Lepisosteus oculatus: one gene and its partners. The protein of the gene in region 3 purifies or fractionates together with the protein of the main gene of each other region. This does not show direct contact. Links are inferred from orthologs where the notes say so. Each region holds a gene or a part of one and is shown on either strand. Other genes may lie near its edges.

Region 1 (6,970 bases), on a different chromosome or scaffold from region 3:
CACTTCATCTCCCTTTCTGAAATCAACACAAATCTAAACTAATAAGCAGTTACTCTCAAATGGTACATTTGACAAACCATTATGCTTAATATTATGAATCAAATATAATGTTGTACTTATTTTATGCAGTTAAATTGTAAGACACTTTGTCCTAAACTGTAAAATCCTCAAACTGTTCACATGCTAATTATTCTTAAACATTGATGATACATTGTAATGTAAAATATATGTATTAGAAATGTATTTCTTAACAATATTAATAACAAAGATTATTTTAAAGGATCAATTTATTTTATTTGTTTAATCGCAACTGCATAAAGTCATCGGTGCTGCCTCCTTTTGAAATCACTGTGCAATAAAACAGGCTGCAGTACAAAGATTTTATGACATGTCTACAAAGAATTCAAATGTAACAATCTGAGTTAAATTAAAATTAATAAAGAATGAAATGGCTAGAAGTGATGATTACATTTGCATAAATGGCTGTGGAATCAGTAGAGAATGGATAGATGCAAGTTAGAAATAGAGTCATAACCATAGGGTAAATTCACCCACAAAACAATCAGATCAATGTATGAAAGTAGGTATGTAAATAAAGAAAAATAACGGGAGAAATAAAGACCTAGAGTGGAGAAATGAGTAACATACAGTGTATGAATTAAAAAATAAAAGTGAGGTATAAAGTAAAGCAGGCATTAGAAATGCTAATAGAGCCAGAAAAGATTAATCCTTTTCACTACTATCACAAATTGGTAATAAAGGATTTTGTATTGAAGTTAAAAAGGTAATTTGGTGCTAAAGGTTTTACATTTAGACAGCACTGTATTGAATCCCATATTTCTTCTAATAGAAGAAGTAGGAAAATGAGAAATATGAATCATACGAGACTCAGGCAGATTCACTTGAAATAGCATAAAAAAGGAATTGCAGGATACTATTAACATCCATCCATTTTCAGACTGCTCCAAACGGGATACTTGCTGGACAGGAGTCCAGGCCATCTCAGGGCACACACAGACACAAAAACACACACACAATTACACCAGGGCCTGTTTTTCCATAAACCAACCTACCAGTATGTCTTTGGATTGTAGGAGGAAACCAGAAGTCCTGGAAAAAACCCACACAATTACACTTAGGGCACCCCAGAAACTGAACCCCACTGTCCAATTGTCCCAGTGTCCCAGTATCCAATCACACAAACAGCAATACTAACCACTGCACCACCAGGCTGCCCTACTATAAATAAATTTAAAAAGCTTAAAGAAACTGCAAAATCTACTGGTGTTTAATTTCCTTTTGGCCATTACCCAGATTGATGTAAATTATAATGCTATTTAAAATAATGCCTTTCATTGGTTTAATTCCGAAAACCTAATGAAAATACAATTATATCATAACTTTAGCCACAATTTTGTAGTAAAGTTAATCACAATTAAGACAATCTGAAAAGTTCTATTTACCACAATTCACATAAAGGCAATTACAGTCTCAAAGCGCTGATTCTCAAAGGCTTATCAGATTTACTCTTTTATATAGTTATTGACAGACGAAGTGCAACAAGTTTTAAATCAATATGACTCAATCATACTCAATCAATATAGAAAAATAACAATCAATTTAAAAAAAAGTTAAATTACCTTTGTCTTTATATAGAGACATAGATGTTTAAAATGTATTTTTAGCATATTGTAAATAATTAACCTGCATCCTTCATTCACTTCATTAATATTTTTCAAAAGTTATTGCCATTTCTCATGGCTTTATTTTGGCTTTTGAACGTCAGCTGCGATTGAAGCATCAGTGCTGATTTTTTGGATGTGAACTGCAGGACCTATTTTTATTCATCTTTTATATATGAGACATGACCCATGAGATGGAATCAGACTATTTCATGACCAGGGATGAAGACTCCAATTGCTTTATGTGAGCAGAGAAAATAATACTTATGTAAAACCCTTTGGTCCTATTCCATTAAGAACACATCAGAAAATGAGGCCATATGCTATGCTTCAATCCTAAGAATGAATATATGAATGTAAATTCAGTCTATGTTGTATTTTAATCAAATCAACTGGATGTTTTGCAGAATAGTGGGTATTTTTGTAATTGGCTTAGAATTCATTATTAGAATTTTGAAAACAAAGAAAAATAGCACTTCACAAACATCGCCACTAAATCCCTTTGCCTCTTCCACTTCTGATACCAATGTTTTTAAAAATAAATGTATTTAGGTGTATTTAAGCATTAACAACAACAACGAATACAAAACAAACAAAAGTACATATAACACTTGAAGACAAAAGCATTGTCAGGAGTACATATGGCAAAATAAATACAAATTATGAAAAAGGCTAAAACAAATTAAAGAAAAAGTCCGCACCGCTTTCATATTTTTACAATTTCAAATAGTCTGCAGATACTCCTTTACATCCATTTTAAAATGTTCAAACATATGATTCTTCCCAGGCCATTTAATTTTGTGTATATGATAACGTGCCATTATAATTAAGTTAATTAAACATTATTTTTTGTATTATTTCCGATGGGGCAAAATTTAACATAAAATCAATTTCTTCAAAGAAAATATCAATATTGGTCTCATTTTTAATGTAAGCTTGCCAGTCCAGAAAGTTTTTACCATGGGACGTAACCAAAATAAATGTTGCAATAGTTTCAGGGCTATTGTCACAAAAAAACACATTTATCATCTATATTAATTTTAAATCACTGGACAACAAGGGTCTTAACTGAGTAAATTCGATGAATTATTTAGTACGAAACCTCCTTAACCTTATAAGTTATACAATATTTATTGGGCATCATCCATTTTTTTTCCAATCAACCCATTTTACAAATAAGGAATTCAAATATACTGTAACAGGGAGGATATTATCATCTTGCAACAGAGATCTTAAAATGTATTACATCCACAACTCAATATTTCCCTTCCTTTTAGTCTGATGCAAGCTGTAAATTCTTCCAATGTTTCTAATGGACTACTATTGCAACTCCTTAAAAGAGTCAATATTTCCCTAGGAATCGCGTTAGAGTGAAATATTGATAAGAATTAATAGAAATTTTATATCTATTAACAAACTCAGTGTAATTATATTGTTCAGGTGGGTAGCTGCGTCAGCATGAGTAGGCTGCAAAGGAACAAGCAATAGGTTTATTCCATGCTGAAAAAAGAAGAAAGAAAACAACGTTTCGGCCATGGAGCCTTCTTCAGGTGTGTGCTTTCAGGGCTGCTTTCAGAAAGGTCACAGTTAGCATCTGTATTGATTTTCAATCTCTGCAGGGTCTTTCTGATTCATACAAAATAATTAATCTAATTTACCCAGTTAAAAACCTTGAAGTCCAGTGATTTAAAATTAAGTGTGCTCACACCTGAAGAAGGCTCCACGGCCTAAACGTTGTGTTTTCTTTTTTTCAGCATGGAATAAACCAATTGTAATTATATTGTAACAACCGCGGGCTTAGGTACGGAATGGAGCAGGCATAGGCCTCTGGGAATGAGGCTGAAAAACACATTTAATAACTCGATCCGGAGATGGCCATGGCCATGGAGTCACAGTACCACACCTACACACACACACCCGAAAGGAAGAGACCGTCTCCCAGCCTCAATCCCTCTATATACAGTCCCGTAGTCCCGCCCCCAGGTGCTGTTCTCAGCCCGCCTTGCGGGCGCATGGCTAAAGCGTCCCTCGTGGCGCTACAATATATTTCACCCTCAGCATTGATAAATTGTTTAACCCAAATTATACCATTTTTGACCCAATTTTCAATGATCAAGGTTTTATTTTTAATTTATATATATATATCTGTTATTCAAAATGGTAAATCTATTAGGGGACTGCCGATACCAACGTTAAAACGTTACATTGCTCAATCATTGCATTGTGCTCGATGTTTTCTGCCTTATCCATGCAACTTTTCTTAGGCTCATCATTTGATTCGTTGAGTCTGCGCTTGAGAGCTAAGGCGGTTTGGCTCCACGCGGGTCATACATTGTGATCTGTGATTGTTACAGCTCAGTAAAAATACAGCTGCAAAATTTAATAAGCGGGCGATATGGCGGATTCACAAGAGGAGAAGCTGTACAAAGCCGAATACGCTAAAAGTGGTCGAGCTTCTTGCAAGAAATGCAAAGACAATATCGCAAAAGATTCTCTCCGGATGGCTATAATGGTGCAGGTAAAGCACGTAATTTGCATTCTTTGATATGAGGAAGAAAGAAGTTTGTTTATATGTAGTTCATGCATATATTAACGCAGCAAAGAACCATCAGAGTGAAAAAATACATTCGATCCTGTGATAATTCGATGGAGTATGCATCATTAACTGATAGGCCGTACTTGGGATTTATTTACATTGCAACTCAAGTGATGGAGTAAACGGTGTCTGCGTTTGAGACCAACCATGTTTCTTGAAACATTCCCTCTTGGTGCACGATTGGTGCATAAAGCACAAGGTTTTATAGTCTGTTTTCAAACGTCTCGAAATTGAAATTGAACTATTGTAATGTTTAAAAAGCATTGATTGTAAAAATAGGTCATGTTATTCGGTTTCAAGCATGCATGAGATGATGAGTATGTAGTAAGCAGTGTTTTCGTGAATAGTTTCCCTTACATTTAGCAACCATTATCAATAGTATAAATTTGTACTTTTTAGTAACTTTATTTTGAATCCGTAAACGAAGTAACAAGATAAACAACTGTTTTGATTTCATTAATGATGCAGTACCAGCTCATACAGTACATTATCAGTAATCATTTTCACTTAATTAATGTCCCTTTTAACTCAGATATTGTACTGTTTTTACAAATGTTGTGTTACAGCCAAGGAAAATACTTTATTCACATGTTGTACAGAATCCACAGAATCGATGCAGTATGTAATTTCGTTTTCCAGACCGTTGTGTGCTGAGGTTGTACAGCAAGAAGAATCAAAATAATATCTTAAATGAGGCCCACTGATTTGTTTTGACTCAAGCGCAATGTATTGATAATCGGAGTAAGTGATCGGTGATGTGACGGGATGTAATAGCCCTTGCTATGGAGTGTGATGATCATCTTCATTTTTCTGTAGCGGTAATGTTACTCTTATGGCTGCAGACCAAAGCTTGTGATTTAACTTCTGGATATTTAGTGTTTTGGATTCGAGTACAGGAAGTACAAGAAAAATTGCACCCTCAAACTCTTAGTTAACGAAAAACATCTTCATCTGTAGCTTTTCCGGTTGTTTAATCTACGTCCCAAACATTGCAGTGAAACTTCTTTGTAGTTAATGTTATCGTAAATGAGTAGTTTTATAAATGTGATTACAAATCCGACACGTTTAAATCGTTTTTTGATCGTTTTTTAAATTTGTGATGTCTGAGTTTTGTTAAAGAGGGAGTCCTGAAGGACACAAAGCAGGCTCTTTCTGTATATTCGCTGACATTACAGCGATCTTTTAACTTATTAATGTGATATCAGCGTTAAAATAGACATTTCTTTGTTTCATACCCTTGTTTAGGGTATGTAAAGAAACATTACAACAATACTGCCGATATTGATGTGATGCTATCAAAAGCAATCTGATCTCCATAATATGGAAAATAAAATGGAGTATTGAAACACTTGAACAACCCCACCCCCAAGAAACCTTAATATAGCTTCTATGTTGGTCTCTTGATTGCCCTGCACCACCCTTTTATGTGATTTAGGGGTAACACTTGACAAATGATACATGCCTTTCTGCAGGACCATAATGCTTCCAAAATGTCAGGTTTCAGCATTTTTTGACTGGAGGGTGACCCCTGTAGCTTACGAGGCACACGTAAACCTACAGTGTTGTGCAGAGCTGCAATCCTCTATCACAGTGGTTCTCAAACCTTTTGGACCAAGTACCACTCCTGATGAAAGCAAAGCAAAAGCAAAGTACCACCTACAAGTCATCTTCTCATAGGAACCACAGAAAACCTCAATGACCAACATGAGTGCGTGCACACACACATATAATAAAAATAGCACTGAGCACTTACCATTTAAACAGGGGTGAGCCTGTTTAATCAAGCAAAGCCTTGCAATGTCAGGGAAGAGGGCAGTGAGCTTCGAATGCAGATAATAATAATAATAATAATTGCTTACACTTTATATAGCGCTTTTCTGGACACTCCACTTTTCTGGGACTCCCCTCCACCACCACCAATGTGCAGCATCCACCTGGATGATGCGACGGTAGCCATAGTGTGCCAGAACGCTCACCACACATCAGCTATCAGTGGGGAGGAGAGCAGAGTAATGAAGCCAATTCATAGAGGAGGATTGTTAGGAGGCCATGATTGATAAAGGCCGATGGGAAATTTGGCCAGGACGCCGGGGTTACACCCCTACTCTTTTCGAGAAACGCCCTGGGATTTTTAATGACCACAGACAGTCAGGACCTCGGTTTTACGTCTCATCCGAAGGACGGCGCCTGTTTACAGTATAGTGTATAGTGTCCCCCTGCTGGCCCCACTAACACCTCTTCCAGCAGCAACCTTAGTAGCGAAGGCATCAAAAACCACACAGCTAATGAGAGGGCTGGGTATTCACTCTGTCTTTGGATCCAGAAATCCTACAGTGACTGGTGTTTCAATTCTGACATCAAAGTCGCATCAGATGATAACTCGAGCAACTACTCTTGTTCAGCACAGGTGAGATCTTTGGGTATTCCTATGACATCAACAGTAAAGGCATTCCTGAGCCACTCTGGTGTGGCCTCAACTGGAAAATACTCTGAAAACTGTTTTTCCAATGACAAGAGGTGCACTGCAATCACATCACATCACAAACAGCAGCATCAGGTGCCCCACTATATGTGTGCAGATAGTTCTCCAAAGTTGGGAAAGCACAGACATTACTTTGTTTTATTAACAAAAAGCTGCAGCTTTTTCGGCATGGCAGTGATCTTGTCAGACAAGTCAAAAATTGTTAAAGTG
Region 2 (6,988 bases), on a different chromosome or scaffold from region 3:
ACTGCCCACATATTGAGGGGCGAGGTGTGGTTAAACCACTACGTTAGCATTTACAAAACTAATGTTGCACAAACCAACAGCACAACGTGACTTAATTTAAAGTTGCAGACCACTCTTAACAAAAACACTATAGAATTCTATAACCGATATCGGTAAACTGCACTTCTATAAACACAAGGTCTACCCAAACTGGCAGCATCTTGCTTTCTTCAAATTCTTGCGTATGTTTAAATCTTGGCAGCTGTTATTTAAAGTTCTGTGGCCAATGTCAACTGAAATTATGGGTTTAGTACGGAGGCCCTGGGTCCACTTCCTGGGGAGCTTCCTGTGTGGAGTTTGCATGTTCACATGTTGGTTGCATGGGTTTTGTCCCACAGTCCAATGGCATACTAGTTAATTGGCCTCTGGGAAGACTGGCCCTGGTGCGAGTGTGTGTGCCCTGTGATGGACTGGCGTCCCATCCAGGCTGTATCCTGCCTTCGCCCGCTGCTCGCTGACATAGGCTCTGGGTCCCCACGACTCTGTATTGGATAAAGTGGTTAGAAAATGGAGGGATGTGCTGTTTTAGCCTTCTTCGGGCTACTAAAAATTAATTTCTGTTGAAAAATCTTCCATGATAATTAATTCATAGAACACTTTTAACCCCATAAGATCCCAAAATAGCATCCCCACTACACAGTAGATCAGATAGAGAAGTGAGAAACCGCTTCACCAGTTATCTGATTGGGAACCTCGGGAAGGTCAGACTGCACGAGCCCAGCATGGAATTTACTCAGGACACCGGCATCAACACCTCTACTCTTAATGAATAGCGTGATGACATTTTTAATAACAAAGTAGTCAAAGAGGCTTAATGTCTCATCTCAAAGATGGCACATCCCACAGTGCCATGTCACTACCCATTATACCAGGGCATTCGTGTGGAAATTCTCATCCAGTTGAAACAGCGTCACCTATTTTCCAGTAATTCCAATGACAGCAACAACCCAGTTTTCCTTGGAAGTCTCTCATCCAAGTCCTGACAAGTCCCTGCCTTGCTTAGCCTTGAACACGTGACAAGATCAGGCCGTGAGGTGGTAACGATGCTGGGCTTATTTGCCATTAGAAAGAACTTTAAAGTGACAAAAGCACAGCAATTCCCAAGAAGTCCCAGACGCAAAAATCTCTGTGTACATTTGGAAGATTATAAAGAAAATCTAATGGGGAGAATTACAACAGGTTTCTAGTTGGAACAAACGGATCTTCAGCACTTTAAACAACTCCCATGAAATCCAAACTGCCATTTCTTTGATCTAGGGTGAAAGCACCAGGTACAGATTTCCTTGCAGAATTGAAATATTACAAGAAATACTGACTGTCACATTAAAATTACATCCGTTTCTTGTCTTGTTTAATCTCATCACAAGTATCAAACGAGAAAAAAGCGACAGTGCCCTCTACTGCCTTAAGACAGCACAATGGGTGAAACAGAATAGTATGCAACACTGGCAAAGCAGAAAGCCTTTTTCCAATTTATTTTCAATTAATGCAAATACCTGAATCATTTATTAAAATAGATAATTGTTTAAATAGTTTTACACTTACACTCCCTATTGTTTTTGTAAGGCATGGATATTTGAGGAATTTGCCATGTTTGACACCAGCCATCCATCCATTTCCTAACCACTTCTTCCAATCCAGGGTCGCAGCGGAGCCAGAGCCAATCAATAACATAATGGGCACAGGGCAGGATACACGCTGGACGGGACGCTAGTCCATTGCAGGGCACACAATCACACTCAGGGCCACTTTCCCAGAAGGCAGAATGTCTTTGGCTTTTCTGTGACTTGTCGGCCTTCCATTCTAGCTTGAACATTTTTGGATCTTTGCGTCAAGACCAATGCAACTCATCTCGTTTAGAAGTAATCGGTCATGTCTGTAGACGGTCTTTGCAACCCAGTTTTCCAGTGGGCTTAAGAACAAGTACACTGATGGCAATCTGCAAGACCTGGACAATTGCAAGCTTACCTTTGATGGCTTGTAGCCAAATATCATGACTATGGCAATCTTCAGATCCTCTCTGTCTAAGTACCCTTTCTTGCTTTCATCACATTGCTGAAAAACCTGTGTTGACCAAAAGGATGAAATTAGTATCTACCCATCCTTTATTCTTAAAGCTTTAAGAAATTATGCCAGGCTGGGGTCATGGCAACCCAGAGCCTATCCTGGAGACAGCGGGCTCCAGGCAGGATTTCCCACTAGATGCCAGCCCTAGGACGCCCACAAGGGACGATTCGGAGATGCCAGTCAAGCTAAACGACCATGTTTTTGAGAGGTGGGAGGGAACTGGGCAGAACCCAAACAAATACAGGGAGAGTCAATTTTACGTAGAAGGCACCCCAGTCCAGGACTGGATTCAGAACCCACCCACTACACCTCCTGAACTACTAGCAGATGCTCCTATTTTGTTTCAATTGGCAAAAAGAAATGACTGACAGGTGCAGAGGCCACTCCCCATCCTGCACTATGGTGATGTGGGTTATACATCAGCGAGCGCCCCCTTCTGGCCCCACTAACACCTCTTCCAGCAGCAACCCTAGTTTTTCCCAGGAGGTCTCCCATCCAGGTACTGACCAGGCTCACACCTGCTTAGCGTCAGCGGGTTACCAGTTGTGAGTTGCAGGGTGATATGGCTGCTAGCCATAATAATATAGCACTTTCCTGGACACTCCACTGAAAGTGCTTTACAGGTAATGGGGATCCCCTCCACCACCACCACCAACGTGCAGCCCCACCTGGATGATGCGACGGCAGCCAGAGTGCGCCAGTACTCTCCCCACACACCAGCTCTCAGCGGGGATGAGAAGAAAGTGATAACGGCAGTCCAGAGATGGGGATTATTAGGGGGCCATGACTGGTAAAGGACAAGTTGGAAACTTAGCCAGGACACCGGGGTTACACCCCTACTATTTCCGAGAATGTGCAATTCTGTTATCTTGGGAAATGTACATTGATTATTATTTTTGTTATCAGCCACTATGTCGAACCAGGCAAGTCAGTTGAAACAGATTTTCACAATTTTCACAATGGTGACCTTGCCAAGAGGATAAGGCCAATACAGAAATTACTTGTTTTCTTTACTCTTTGGTTTTCTCTGTATACCAGACGAATACTTCTCTAGTTTCAGTTTAGTAGTTTTTGCCATGGAGGGTCAGGACCTCAGTTTTACAGCTCATCTGAAGGATATGACAGCTGTGAGCTGCAGGGTGATAAAGCTGCTGGCTATGAACCAGAAATTACTTGTTTTCTTTACTCTTTGGTTTTCTCTGTATACCAGACGAATACTTCTCTAGTTTCAGTTTAGTTGGAAAAACACCTTCCTGTATGCATAATTTATAACCGTAGTTCGTACTATCCTACTATTTAAGGGGGTAAACTGCAAACAAATTAAACCTCAACCAACTACTGCTTTGGGGCGCAAAATTAAGTCATTCCTACCCTGACATCAAAATCGTTCCCGACAGTTTTGTCAAATGATTTCTGAGTCACCGTTCAACCGTGTCTAACGTTACGTGGCTTCACCCGCTCGTTTTCCGCGCTGTATTGGCCTTATCCTCTTGGCAAGGTCACCATTGTGAAAATCTGTTTCAACTGACTTGCCTGGTTCGACATAGTGGCTGATAACAAAAATAATAATCAATGTACATTTCCCAAGATAACAGAATTGCACTGTGACAGTAAATATCATTCCAAGTTAAAATGGTTCTTACCGAGGTGAACTTCTTTATATCAGTTTCGGAAATTTTCGGTTCTTGCCTGCCAAGACTAGTTTTGTACGAAAACATTGCAAACTAAACTGTATTTACGGAAACCACATCAGTTTTTTAAAGAACCGCTTGGATACTGTAAGGTGACGCTTGATTGGTCCGTTCAGGTTGGCAGGTGTGCAATCCGGAACGTGATTGGCTCAGCCGGGCGGGCTTCCGTTTCTAGGGCGAAGTCGTCATCAAAATGTTTTGACTTTAAGTTTATGCTACGTCTCTCTTCATCTTAACGATTTATTAGAGTCCGTTTAATAAAAAGGCTATTTCCCATACCACTAAGTTCTAGTTTTTCGTCAAGCATGTCAATGCTATCGTGGCTTGTAACAGACGTTGCTAATGTTTGAAATTTTTGTCGTCCGGGGAACTAAAATGTTGTTGCACCATTTTTTCTGAACATAGGGGGTCGACAAAGCTTAATGGCGGGGGCGTTGTAGTTAAAATTAAAATACCTGCAGCCTTAAACAGTTCTGTTATTTGGAAATAATGGAATAAAGAAAGTTTTAGATATTTTATTGTTTTAGTAATACGTTTTCAACCACATTACTTTACCAACCATCATTTAATTCTAAACCCAGTTGTGAATTTCTCGTCTGGAAAAGCACCCTGCACCGTTTTATTGCCTTTTCAGTAAGTTTTTAAGTTTGTATTACACGGCGTCCATTTATAGTGAAGGTTTATAAAAAGTGAAAACTAGGAAGCCGGAAACGAACAAACAATTATGCAAAAGTGTATGTTAGGCTGTTTTACTAAATAGTTTGGAAAACAGACTGCTGGATGTTGTTGCTATTAGCAATGGTGCTACTATCAGTAGGTGCGTTCAGTATTGCTTGCAGTTTTTTTCGTGTAAAGTTGCACGATGTTATTGCATGCTTGCAGTCTCCATTGGAGAAACAGAACCCCTCTTCCGGACGCCGAAAGTCTGTTATGAATACAACCAATCTTATCTATGAGAGCTAACATTAAAAATCCCCTTATAACCTGGCATAACAACTCAAAAACAATCTCTTTCCGAGGATTAATACCGCTTCCTATCTTTTGAGATTGAACCTTCCGTATGTACGTCTTTAGTGTTTCCATTCTAACAAAAAGTTCAGGCGCGACCTAGATGTTACTCCTTAAGTTACATTTTATTTTAACGTTTACGATCCTTGCCTAATTTGTTACAGTACGTCTTTAGATGACGTTGATTTTCACCTGAGACAATTTTGTGCAGAAAACGAGGGCTGGAATTTCGGTGGCACCGACTGGTGAATAATAAGATATTTGCTTCACGTGGCGTTGCCTGGTTTACCATTTGTGTGGTGGCATTATTAAACGGAAGACCCACACTCTTTTAGTTATATGCTGGACCAAGGATAAACACAGACGCAGTCATGTGTTTTTTTCGTTGATTTGTTTCAGCACAAATAGGTCTTCTGTGTTGAATAAGGCAGATTTTGCTCCTATCCTGCGTTTATTTCACTTACCTCAGGGATGTCGCAGGAGAGCCAGCATGGAAAGTGGACTCTGTCCAGCAGCGATGAGGAAGACTCTGCCTTGGTACAGAGTAGGACTCAGTACTTCAGTTCAGACAACATCCGACAGACAGACCAGCTGCTTGAGGCGAAGGATGAGCTGGATTTATTCCCTTCGTCTCCTGGATCTGAAGCTGGACAAGCCTCTAGCCCGTGGGAACCCGTGAAAACTGAATCTCCAGGCGCGTCTGGGGAGATGTACCTCGCCCTCAAGAGGAAGACGGAGCCGGAGGACTCTGGCTGGGCCCTCTCAAGCAGTGATGAGGGGTCTGACTCTGAGCCAGAGAGCCAGAAACAAACCAAGACCTGTCTGCCCAGTCCCAAAAGGGTCAAGCTTGACAAGGAGAGCAGTGTGCCGGAGAGGGTGCCGTTAGCCTCACGTGAGCCAGAGGTGGATGAGACCTTGGACACCTGGGACGTGCTGCAAGGAAGTGAACCCTTCTGCTTTTACCTCACCAAAGTGACAGGCATAGAGAGGAAGTACAACGTGGGGGCTCTGAACATTAAAGGTAAACGCAGTGAGCCGGCGTGTTGCGGATTCAAGGGGTGGACGCATCAGGGCACGGGTCAGGGTCTGGGGGGCTCTCTGGGCCTCTTCAGAATAGCCAGCAGCTGCAGGTCCTTGAACACTTAAATTAGTCCAGTCTGCTCAATTAGGTCATGAGAAGAAAGGTGCAAGGAGAACCCATATATTCTGTGACTCCCCAAGATTGGAGCTGTGCATGAAATCATTTGTTTTGCTTTGCTTTTTTTGGGGGGAGGGTTCACATCTTGTCATCTACAATTGGAAATGGTGAGTGTACTGTAGGACCATATTGCTTCTGTATAGAAGGATGATTTTTGTCTTGTTTTGCCTGGAGGTTCACAGTGCTGAGCGATACTGAAGTAACTGGTTTCAATTGTTCTTTATCAGATATCCTCTCTCCTTTATTTGGGACGCTGAAGGAATCTGTTCAGGTGAGCAATTTCCTGAGTCCTGCGGGTATTCATGAAGTGCGAGAGATGAAGTGTCTGTCTTACTGTTCTGTTCATACATTTAGTTTTGTTCAATCATATGCGCGTTATGAATTTTATGAGTTATGAATATTTTTGCTCGCTGTCATTTAAAAAAAAGCACAGTTAAAACAATTAAAAATAATCACAGAGAACACACTGTCTACAGGATCAAGTGATCAAGATTGTAAGTGGCTGTACAATATTTTTTGACTGAGTGAGTTGATTTTTCTGTAGGACTTGGGGACTGTTGTGTGACAGTGAGAAACTATTGAAAGAGCTACACTGTGTTGTGAACAGCACACATGATTCTGTCCAGTGACAGTAGTTCAAAAATGACTTAGAAAACCATGAAACCAGCGTAGGTGGATGAATTTCTTAAGTTTGACATCTCCGTTCCAGGATGTATCTAGGCTGTGTTTCAGTTGCACTTGGGCACATTGGAGAGATCTTTTCAGTCACTAATTTCCACTCATTTTGAAAGACCTCTTTCCCAGTCCTTTTCAGCTCATCCTGGGTATTCCTGAAATTACTGTAAAAGGTGTGAAACCAATGAGCTACTGTTAAGTAATGGATCTTTTATTTAAAGTGTTAATACATTTGTGATAATGAAATTCCTGGGTGAAAGGTAAACAATTCATGGTTGTACACAGTTGGCACAAATAAAGTGAAGTGGTT
Region 3 (7,724 bases):
CGCACTCATCCCCATTTTTATTAACTGGAAATACTCCCGCGATGTCACGTGATCTTTTAGTGGATCATTTTGCCTGTTCTCTTTACTTCAGTTTACACATCAACTGATTAAAACTGTGCTCTAAAAAAGGTTGACTTAGGCAGATTGGAGAAACTTTGACTATTTCTTCCTGCTGCTCGTGGCTTTCAGTTGGCTACAGTACAGGACAGGAAAGAGCAAACTGTGACAATGGCAGCACCTTCTTACCAGTGAATCCAGAGAACTTGCGTGGCGTCACAGGGGACAGGTCAGCCAGGCCAGTCTGAACCTTCTTCTTAGGGCTGTGGTTAGTCTTCGCAGCCAGATCTAGCCAAGCAACCACACACAAAAAACAGTGTCCTGTTAGTTTGTACCCTGCCCCTTTAAGAAATACATTTTTAATTACGCATAGCAACATAAGAGTTACAATAAATCCCAATTTCAAAATTCCTAAAGAATAAGTGGACAATACATAACAGAAAGATATGTTTCCAGATTAATTTTAATAAACATTCTCATGGTAAAATCTGTGAGAATGATTCATGAATAAGTGTTTTGCCTGCTGTCTTCTTAAGCATTATCCATCTCAAGAATTAATGGTTCCCAACTTTTTTTCTTTTTCAGTCATATAAAAGCACACTGGTTCCCAATCTTGGTCCTGAAGGGTCGGTGTGTCTATAGGTTTTCACTACAGCTGAGCTCATAATAACCTAAATCAGAAGATTCTTGTCTTTATTAGACCAGTTTAGCATCTTCTCCTGGCTCTTCAGCTGCTGCTCTAAGGCTGTGGTTCCCAGTCTTGGTCCTGGAGGAACACTATATGATCCTATATGTCAGTCCAGCTGAGCTCTCAAATGTTAAATGCTGACTTATTCTTGCTTGTTTTTACTTGTTTAGGTCAGTCCTGAGTGTCAAGGGTACTGTATCATCATATAGAACTTACACACATAACCTTTCCTTTATCTTAGAGTAAACAGCTCTTACAAATTCATCACCCGGCAATGAACAGACTTAGGTAGGAGTGGCACTGTATCAGACACACCCACAGGTGGGAGTGGCACTGTATCAGACACACATAAATTAAGATTTTGCAGATGTCCAATTGGTTACATTCCAGGCCAATACCAATTGTAAATCCCATTGGTCCTTCTAAGAGCTGAGAGGAAATGTTTCTAACACGAACCATTAGAAAACTGAAATCAATTAGCCGGTGCTTAATAACTCAACTACAAGAAGGAAAACAGACGAGACAGTGTTTCTCCAGGGCCAGCATTGGGAATCACGGCTCTGAAGAGACTTGGGCAACCCGCGGTCCAGAATCAGGACCAGCAGGACTGGGGAGCCAGTGTCATGGATTCAGAACTCCCATTCCCACATTGACTAACTGAAACAGAAGCACCCCCCCCCCCCCCTCCACCTGCAATGTGCTTGTTGATGAGCTCCTTATCCTCATCCTGCACCTCCTCCCAGCCCTCCAGGTCCGTTATGTCCTCGATCCTCCGGGTGGTGATCCGGGCGCGCTCCAGCTTCTCGAACATGCACTTGACGTGGTACCACTCCTTCATGTCGCCCGCGGACTCGCTGAAGGGGTTGGGCACGATCTTGCCGATGCGCACCAGCCCCTTGACGATCTTCTCCTTGCACTTCTTGCAGCCGGCTGTGCCGCGCTTGGCGTACTCCACGCAGTACCGTTGCTCGGGCATGGCCTCGCGCTCGCCGCCGCCGCCACACGGGGACCAGGACAGGTGGAAAGCTCGAGACGCTGGGGTCCGGGCACAGGCGTGCCAAGGCTTGCCGAGGAAGGCCTGGGACCGGGAGCTATAGGCCGCACACGTGGCACTCCGGTGGAAGTTGAAGGACTGAACGGATTCGCTGGCAGAAGCCTGATTCTGGAAGAGTTTGAGCAGCAGTGTGCTGAAAAGTGCTCTGCTTGTTTGGTGGGTGCAGAGTTTAAGCATGAAGCATACCTAGCTCATCACTTTAACACCTGAGGGGGAAGAAAGCATGGAGAATCAGCAGACAGACGAAGATGAGTCGATAAACGCCTTTCACAGAAAAGTGAGCAATGGAGAACTTCTCCTGGAGCTTTTTCCAGGTCGCGCCATAGCGGATTCGATTACTAGTTTTTTTTCTGTCTTTATCAAGAAAAGTGCCCAGAAAACAACGCTTTTCCTTCATGAGTTTAGTTTCAGCGTGAGCCTGGGCTTTTTGACCGAAGTTGTGAATTGGGTGCAGTTGATTAAAAAAAAACTCGGCAAAGTCCCCTTAAATGCAGCTGCTATTCTACAAAATATCTTGTGCCAAAAGAAATCGGTTCCGCGAGAACAGATGTTTTTTTTTCTCATTAAGCAACATTCTAACAGAAGGCAGCCTGTTTCCTTAATCTCTGTATGACTACAATGTTGCACCATGCAGGATAGTCTTAAATTATGATATTATACTGTACCAGGCAAATGAAGATATTCTAAGATTATCACCCTTCATGGCTGATAATCATAAACACTTTACGTGGTTTCAAGCTGAAATAGTTATGTCATCAACATTTTTGTCCACTCTATTCGGCTTTTAAATTAAAAAATAAAATTCGTAGTGCAAAGCACACTTTCTTCAACTTGACCGATTTTAGTATTGTGTGAAAACACAAAAATGGCTTAACTAAAGAGCAGATAGATTATAGATGGCCTTAATTTCCCACCACTTCGAGTTTGCTGTTTGCTGTAACGCACAAGTTCCCAGTAAAATGTCTTTCGCTTTTAGAATCCACTGTGCCGTGCTCGACCACAGCTAAAACAGACATTTTAATTTCCCAACGCCACGGAAAAAATCAGGAACCTTATGTAAAATGCACTTTACAATAAAAATGCTTAAGACCATGCTTACCGGTGTTATTCGTTTGTTACAGATGTGTTTGTGCTATTTTTGTACTTATCATTTTCTCCACTGTAGTGTGTTATTTTCAATGTGAGGTTTCCCCTTTAAACACCAGCCACGTTCCCCTTTTGTTTCCTGTCATATCCCACAGTGCGCATGTGCGACAGTTAAAAGTTTTATGCCGACAGAAATTCAGGTGTAAGCCGTGCCGGGGTATATCTTTAAAAATAACTGTAAAGCTATTAAACAGTGAACTATAAGTTTTGTTTCTTTAATTATTACTACACTGTCGCAAAGCTGCTGTAATTATGACTGCCATAGTTACAGCATACAGCGAATATAACATAAGAAGGTTTATAATCGAAATGGGGCTATTTATCTAGGCTAGCTCATGTGATTACGGGTAGGTCATTGATCAAAGGATCATTCAGGCTTTTTTTGAAAGAAGCTAGCCGCAATGTGTTTAAGCAGTTTACTCCAGATCCTCCCAGATATCTGTGTAAAGGTCTGAGACTTGTTTTTTTATGAAAGCCTTTTTTCAGGTTTGGTCGGCGGTGAGGTTTCAATATTCGCCTTGTCCTCTAGATGGAAGCATCGCTCTTTCACTGGAGATCTGTTTTGTCATAAGACTCCACAAAAGCACGCTTCTTCATGATCCAAAAAAGAAACTGGCATTGTATTTCTTTTCTACATGCACCCCACCATCACACAACCAAACAGTGACTGTCTATTGCCTTTTCCAATGTGATTGGACCCAAGAGACTGAAGAACTGGCTAAGCCCACATTGAAGAAAGCATGTGCCCTAAACGTAGAAAAAGAAACCAAGCTTCAAGAAGCCAGTCAGACGATACCTCCGATATCCATCCATCTGAAATCCTGACTGAGGGCATTATCTTCCCCACTCCTTTATACAGAAGCCCTCGATTTATTTTGCCCCAGGAAGACTTCTGTTATGGGGCTTTTTTTCTGCACCATGGACTCTTAAGTTACAGATCAGATATAAAAACTTTTATTGTTTCCTAACAGTATTAAATGTCAGTGCTTTCATTTGGCAACAGTATATCTGCTTCTGTTACATTGCAATGAGGGAAATATCAGAAAGTGAGGATTTATCACCGAAGTCCTTGTAGAAAAGCTAAGCCAGGTTCGTTACCTGTCATTCCTCATCTCAAGAAGCAGAGAATGTTACTATACGTAACACACCAGGCCATGGTATGTATTCATATGCTACACAGAGAGAAAAAAATCCAGGGTTACAGGTAACAATTAACACCTAAAGCTGCAGTCTGTTTTCTGGAAATTACTTGTGGGGGGACTGAACATAAGCAAGTTATTAGGTCTTATTTGAGTTTGGAACAACAAGGCCTTTTCTAGTGCACTGCACGCCCTCTGGTGTTCAGCAAGGAGTTTTGCTGCCACCTGCCACAATTCTTCAACAGTCGCTCAGGAAATGTAATGACAAAGGGCTCAATTCACAGATGATAGCATGTGCATCAGTTGATATATGGGGATTTAACAATTCAAATGCTAGTCTAATTGAATTTATTATTTTTTGGAGATACGCAATAGCTTGCCATCGGGATAACTCCTTTCTTCATCCTATCTACTGTATCTTTATGTCAGGTCAGATTAAAGTAGAAGATCAATCAGGTCACTGATAGCCTGTCTCGCTTCACATAGACAAGCAATTAAATTTTGGTTTAGAGGGAGACGTTTTCAAAAAGGTTTTTTTCTGAGCTCCCTGGTTTCCTCCCACCTCCTAGAGATTCATTTATGTCTTTGATTTATCTGTGTATGAATGAGTGTCTCCGGGCAAGTGCCCTATACTTGCAGAAAAGACTCTGGGCATTACCAGGAATAAGTGGCTTTCTTATGATGTGGGAAGGAACCTTTTAAATGATATATTTATGTGCAGAAACTGAAAAAAAAAACGTCATAATTTTGCTATTGTTACAGATAGGGGGTATAGATAATAGAAAGTGGGCAATAAAATAATTAAAATAAAATACATTAACACAAGGAGTACGCAGTTGTGGCACATGAGTTTTGGCACATGCTTTGTTTATTCTCTGGCACAGTCCTGGTGAAAGAGCAATTAATCCATTTGCAGAGAACTGCAAACGTTTTTCTGAGATGTGAACTTTCAAGATGTGAGTGGCTAACAGATATCACAACCACTGTAACAGGATGCATCTCAGAGGAACACTTTTTTTTCAGTCACCTACCTGAAGTACCTGAACTTGACTTGACTAGATTCATATTTTTCTCACGTTTACAAGTAACTCCTTCAAGGAAAAATTCCAGAAATAAGTTTACCGAAGACACAAAAGGCGAATTGATTTTGACCATGTCTCACTTTCACTCTCCTCTCTTTGAAGGAAGTGAAAAGACTGTGATACATTTCCAAACTCAATTAGAGAGCCTGCCAATGAGGTAGTGGTCCCACGAGGTGGGGAAACTTAATTAAGTAACCTGGCATTCAATGGTTGCTGCTCCACGATTAACAGTTAAACACAAGAAAATGAAGTCTTGCAGTTGTTTGAGCCCCATTACTTGAAGAAACGTGACTCCAAAAGCCCTCACACGGCAAATTGAAGCCAGATTTGATTTGGAAATCTGTCAAAGTGCCCAGGACACAGATCACTTTCCCAGGCACAAGAGCAATATTCTTTTCTTTGCTCGTAAAGTTCTTTGTTTTATTTTGCAGCATTAATTAAAGAGGTTAAAATACCACTTCATCTACATCACTGATCACTTTCAGTGCTTCTTTGCACTCATAAAATACAAGCTGAACTAATTGTTCAAAGGTACAGAAAACTTGCAGTGCTGGGAGAGTTGTTTCAGCTTCTTTCTCTGTTAGTAAACACTGTATGTTCTAGGTGCTTCTGCTCCCAGGAGACGTAAGAAAAAGCAGTAGTCGTGTGTTTGTGTGGGTTTCCTCCTGCTGTCCAATGGTGTATTTGGAAGTTAATTGGCTTCTATGAAATTGGCCTTGGTGTGAGTGTGAGTGTTTGTGTCTGTGTGTGTGTGTCCCCTGCAATGGACTGGCAGACCACCCAGGGTGTATCTCATCTTGTGCCTGTTGCTTGTCAGGTCTGGTTCTGTCTCCCTCATGGCCCTGTATTGTACTGTGGTTCGAACATGGATAGATGGTTTAGTAATGAGCTTCACCTTATACTACAGGATATGCTGTGTGGCCCTGTAGATGAAAGAAGAGAGAGAATTTTCAGTATGACTTTTAAAGGTTATGAACAGCTGCAGTAGTGCGCCAGTTCTATTACATTTGTACATGTACAGTATTCTTTTTCTCATATTCTGTGCTCTTTGTAGCTTGCAGCCCTGGACAATTGTCCTAACTATCTTTGATGGCTCTAATCCTAACCCTGTTCTCCCCACACACAATGGGTGGCTATGTACAGTAAGTAATTCATTTTAATGATCCATTCTCCAAATGTCATCTCAAGTCAGATGAAGACAGATGTAATAATTGAGCAAGTGACAGGGTTGCTATGTAAATGACTAATTAATTTAATGACCAGCTCTGCTGATAAGGCCTAGAGTAAAAATAGAATCTGTCTCTCCAGTACCATTAAGAATTCTACTCAAAGACCTTGGTGTGAGCCCTTCATTTCAACAAATAGAGCAACAGAAAGCAGGAGGAGAAGCAAACACTTATGATAAAAAGAAAATATGTCAGTTATGATCTGCAGCAGCCCTACAGAACATCCCCTTGCTTTAAAAATAGTTTTGGGGGTTGCTGTTCAAATACAAATCTTTGAGTTGTGCAGGTTTACAGACTTCATTTGATTATTCAATAGACACACACTTAGGCAAAATATATTAATATATTAATTCACAGTGCTGTAGTGACTGGTTTTGTCACACAAGTTCACTACTAGAGAAAAAACAGACTTATGAAAAGTGGTCTTTAGTCCCTTTAAGTCCATTTTAATTCAAAATGTTTGAAAGCTACAGTGAACAATGTTGTTTAGTGAGCCAATCCTGTTGCCCCAAACAACAATTCTCTTTATCTGCAAATATATTTTTTTTCTAATTTTTAAGATAAGAAAAATTAAATTTCCTAGAGAGCCACTCTCCTGGAGTGTATTAATAAATAATACTCATTGGAACATTACACTCACCTGGTAAGTCTCTGAATAATGAACATGTTGGCTTTCCTAATTCATTTGGCCGTAAGGCGGATGCACATATCTCTGTTTTCAGCTGACAGAAATAAATATTGCATCATTGTTATTGCCCTCAATTGCCGCCCACCAAAATGTCAAGGCATTTAATCTGAAATTTTTTGTGCTGCCTCTGTCTCTTTTTTTCTCTCCCGCCATTGATCAACAGCAGTGACTCAGTGAAGAATCTGGTGGAGGCTTTCCAAAAACCAGCGTCTGAAAATTGGAATGAAGCTCTGGCGCCACAAGGTTGTATTTAAATCGTTTGATTTCCAATTTAGCACACCTGGCATCCACAGAGCCCCCCCGAGACTCCGTCCTGCTGATTAACTCTGTGATGAGCCGCTGTGGCAACAAGCAATCTCCTCACTTTCTTCGCTGTCTTGCAGAATTTACTGCTGCTCTGGGGCCGGGCTGAGGCAGGCAGGTCTTGAAAGTGCAGCCTGCAAAGGTTTTCAAAGCCAGCCAAATGTAAAACCTAGGAAAATGGTCACCTAACAAGACAAAATGCATTAAATCACAGTATTAATATTGCTGTTATATACTTATAAACTTTCCCCTCCATCAGGTGATGGAGAACCTTTTTCCCATTCCTTTTTGGAAGGTTATTCTTGTTTTCAACAATTTTTTTTCACTGCAACGTTCACTAT

Evidence for each region. The genes of interacting proteins can lie anywhere in the genome.
Region 1: the proteins of lig3 (region 3) and parp1 purify together in Homo sapiens (affinity purification with mass spectrometry; 3 studies listed by BioGRID and IntAct, with this or other methods). This does not show direct contact. The link is inferred for Lepisosteus oculatus from reciprocal best matches to the Homo sapiens genes LIG3 and PARP1.
Region 2: the proteins of lig3 (region 3) and tdp1 purify together in Homo sapiens (affinity purification with mass spectrometry; 4 studies listed by BioGRID and IntAct, with this or other methods). This does not show direct contact. The link is inferred for Lepisosteus oculatus from reciprocal best matches to the Homo sapiens genes LIG3 and TDP1.

Annotation. Positions count from the first base shown.
Region 1 is NC_090697.1:55,842,625-55,849,594, reverse strand, and holds the start of parp1 (poly [ADP-ribose] polymerase 1), read left to right. Parts: upstream 1-3,959; 5' UTR 3,960-4,077; coding exon 4,078-4,200; intron 4,201-6,970. UniProt on the Homo sapiens protein: Poly-ADP-ribosyltransferase that mediates poly-ADP-ribosylation of proteins and plays a key role in DNA repair.
Region 2 is NC_090703.1:2,996,747-3,003,734, forward strand, and holds the start of tdp1 (tyrosyl-DNA phosphodiesterase 1), read left to right. Parts: upstream 1-3,977; 5' UTR 3,978-4,430; intron 4,431-5,204; 5' UTR 5,205-5,276; coding exon 5,277-5,826; intron 5,827-6,230; coding exon 6,231-6,274; intron 6,275-6,988. Other genes in the region: efcab11 (EF-hand calcium-binding domain-containing protein 11), read right to left, coding at 2,008-2,103, 3,750-3,824. UniProt on the Homo sapiens protein: DNA repair enzyme that can remove a variety of covalent adducts from DNA through hydrolysis of a 3'-phosphodiester bond, giving rise to DNA with a free 3' phosphate.
Region 3 is NC_090721.1:1,741,523-1,749,246, forward strand, and holds the start of lig3 (DNA ligase 3), read right to left. Parts: upstream 3,017-7,724; 5' UTR 2,899-3,016; intron 2,006-2,898; 5' UTR 1,977-2,005; coding exon 1,436-1,976; intron 346-1,435; coding exon 247-345; intron 1-246. UniProt on the Homo sapiens protein: Isoform 3 functions as a heterodimer with DNA-repair protein XRCC1 in the nucleus and can correct defective DNA strand-break repair and sister chromatid exchange following treatment with ionizing radiation and alkylating agents.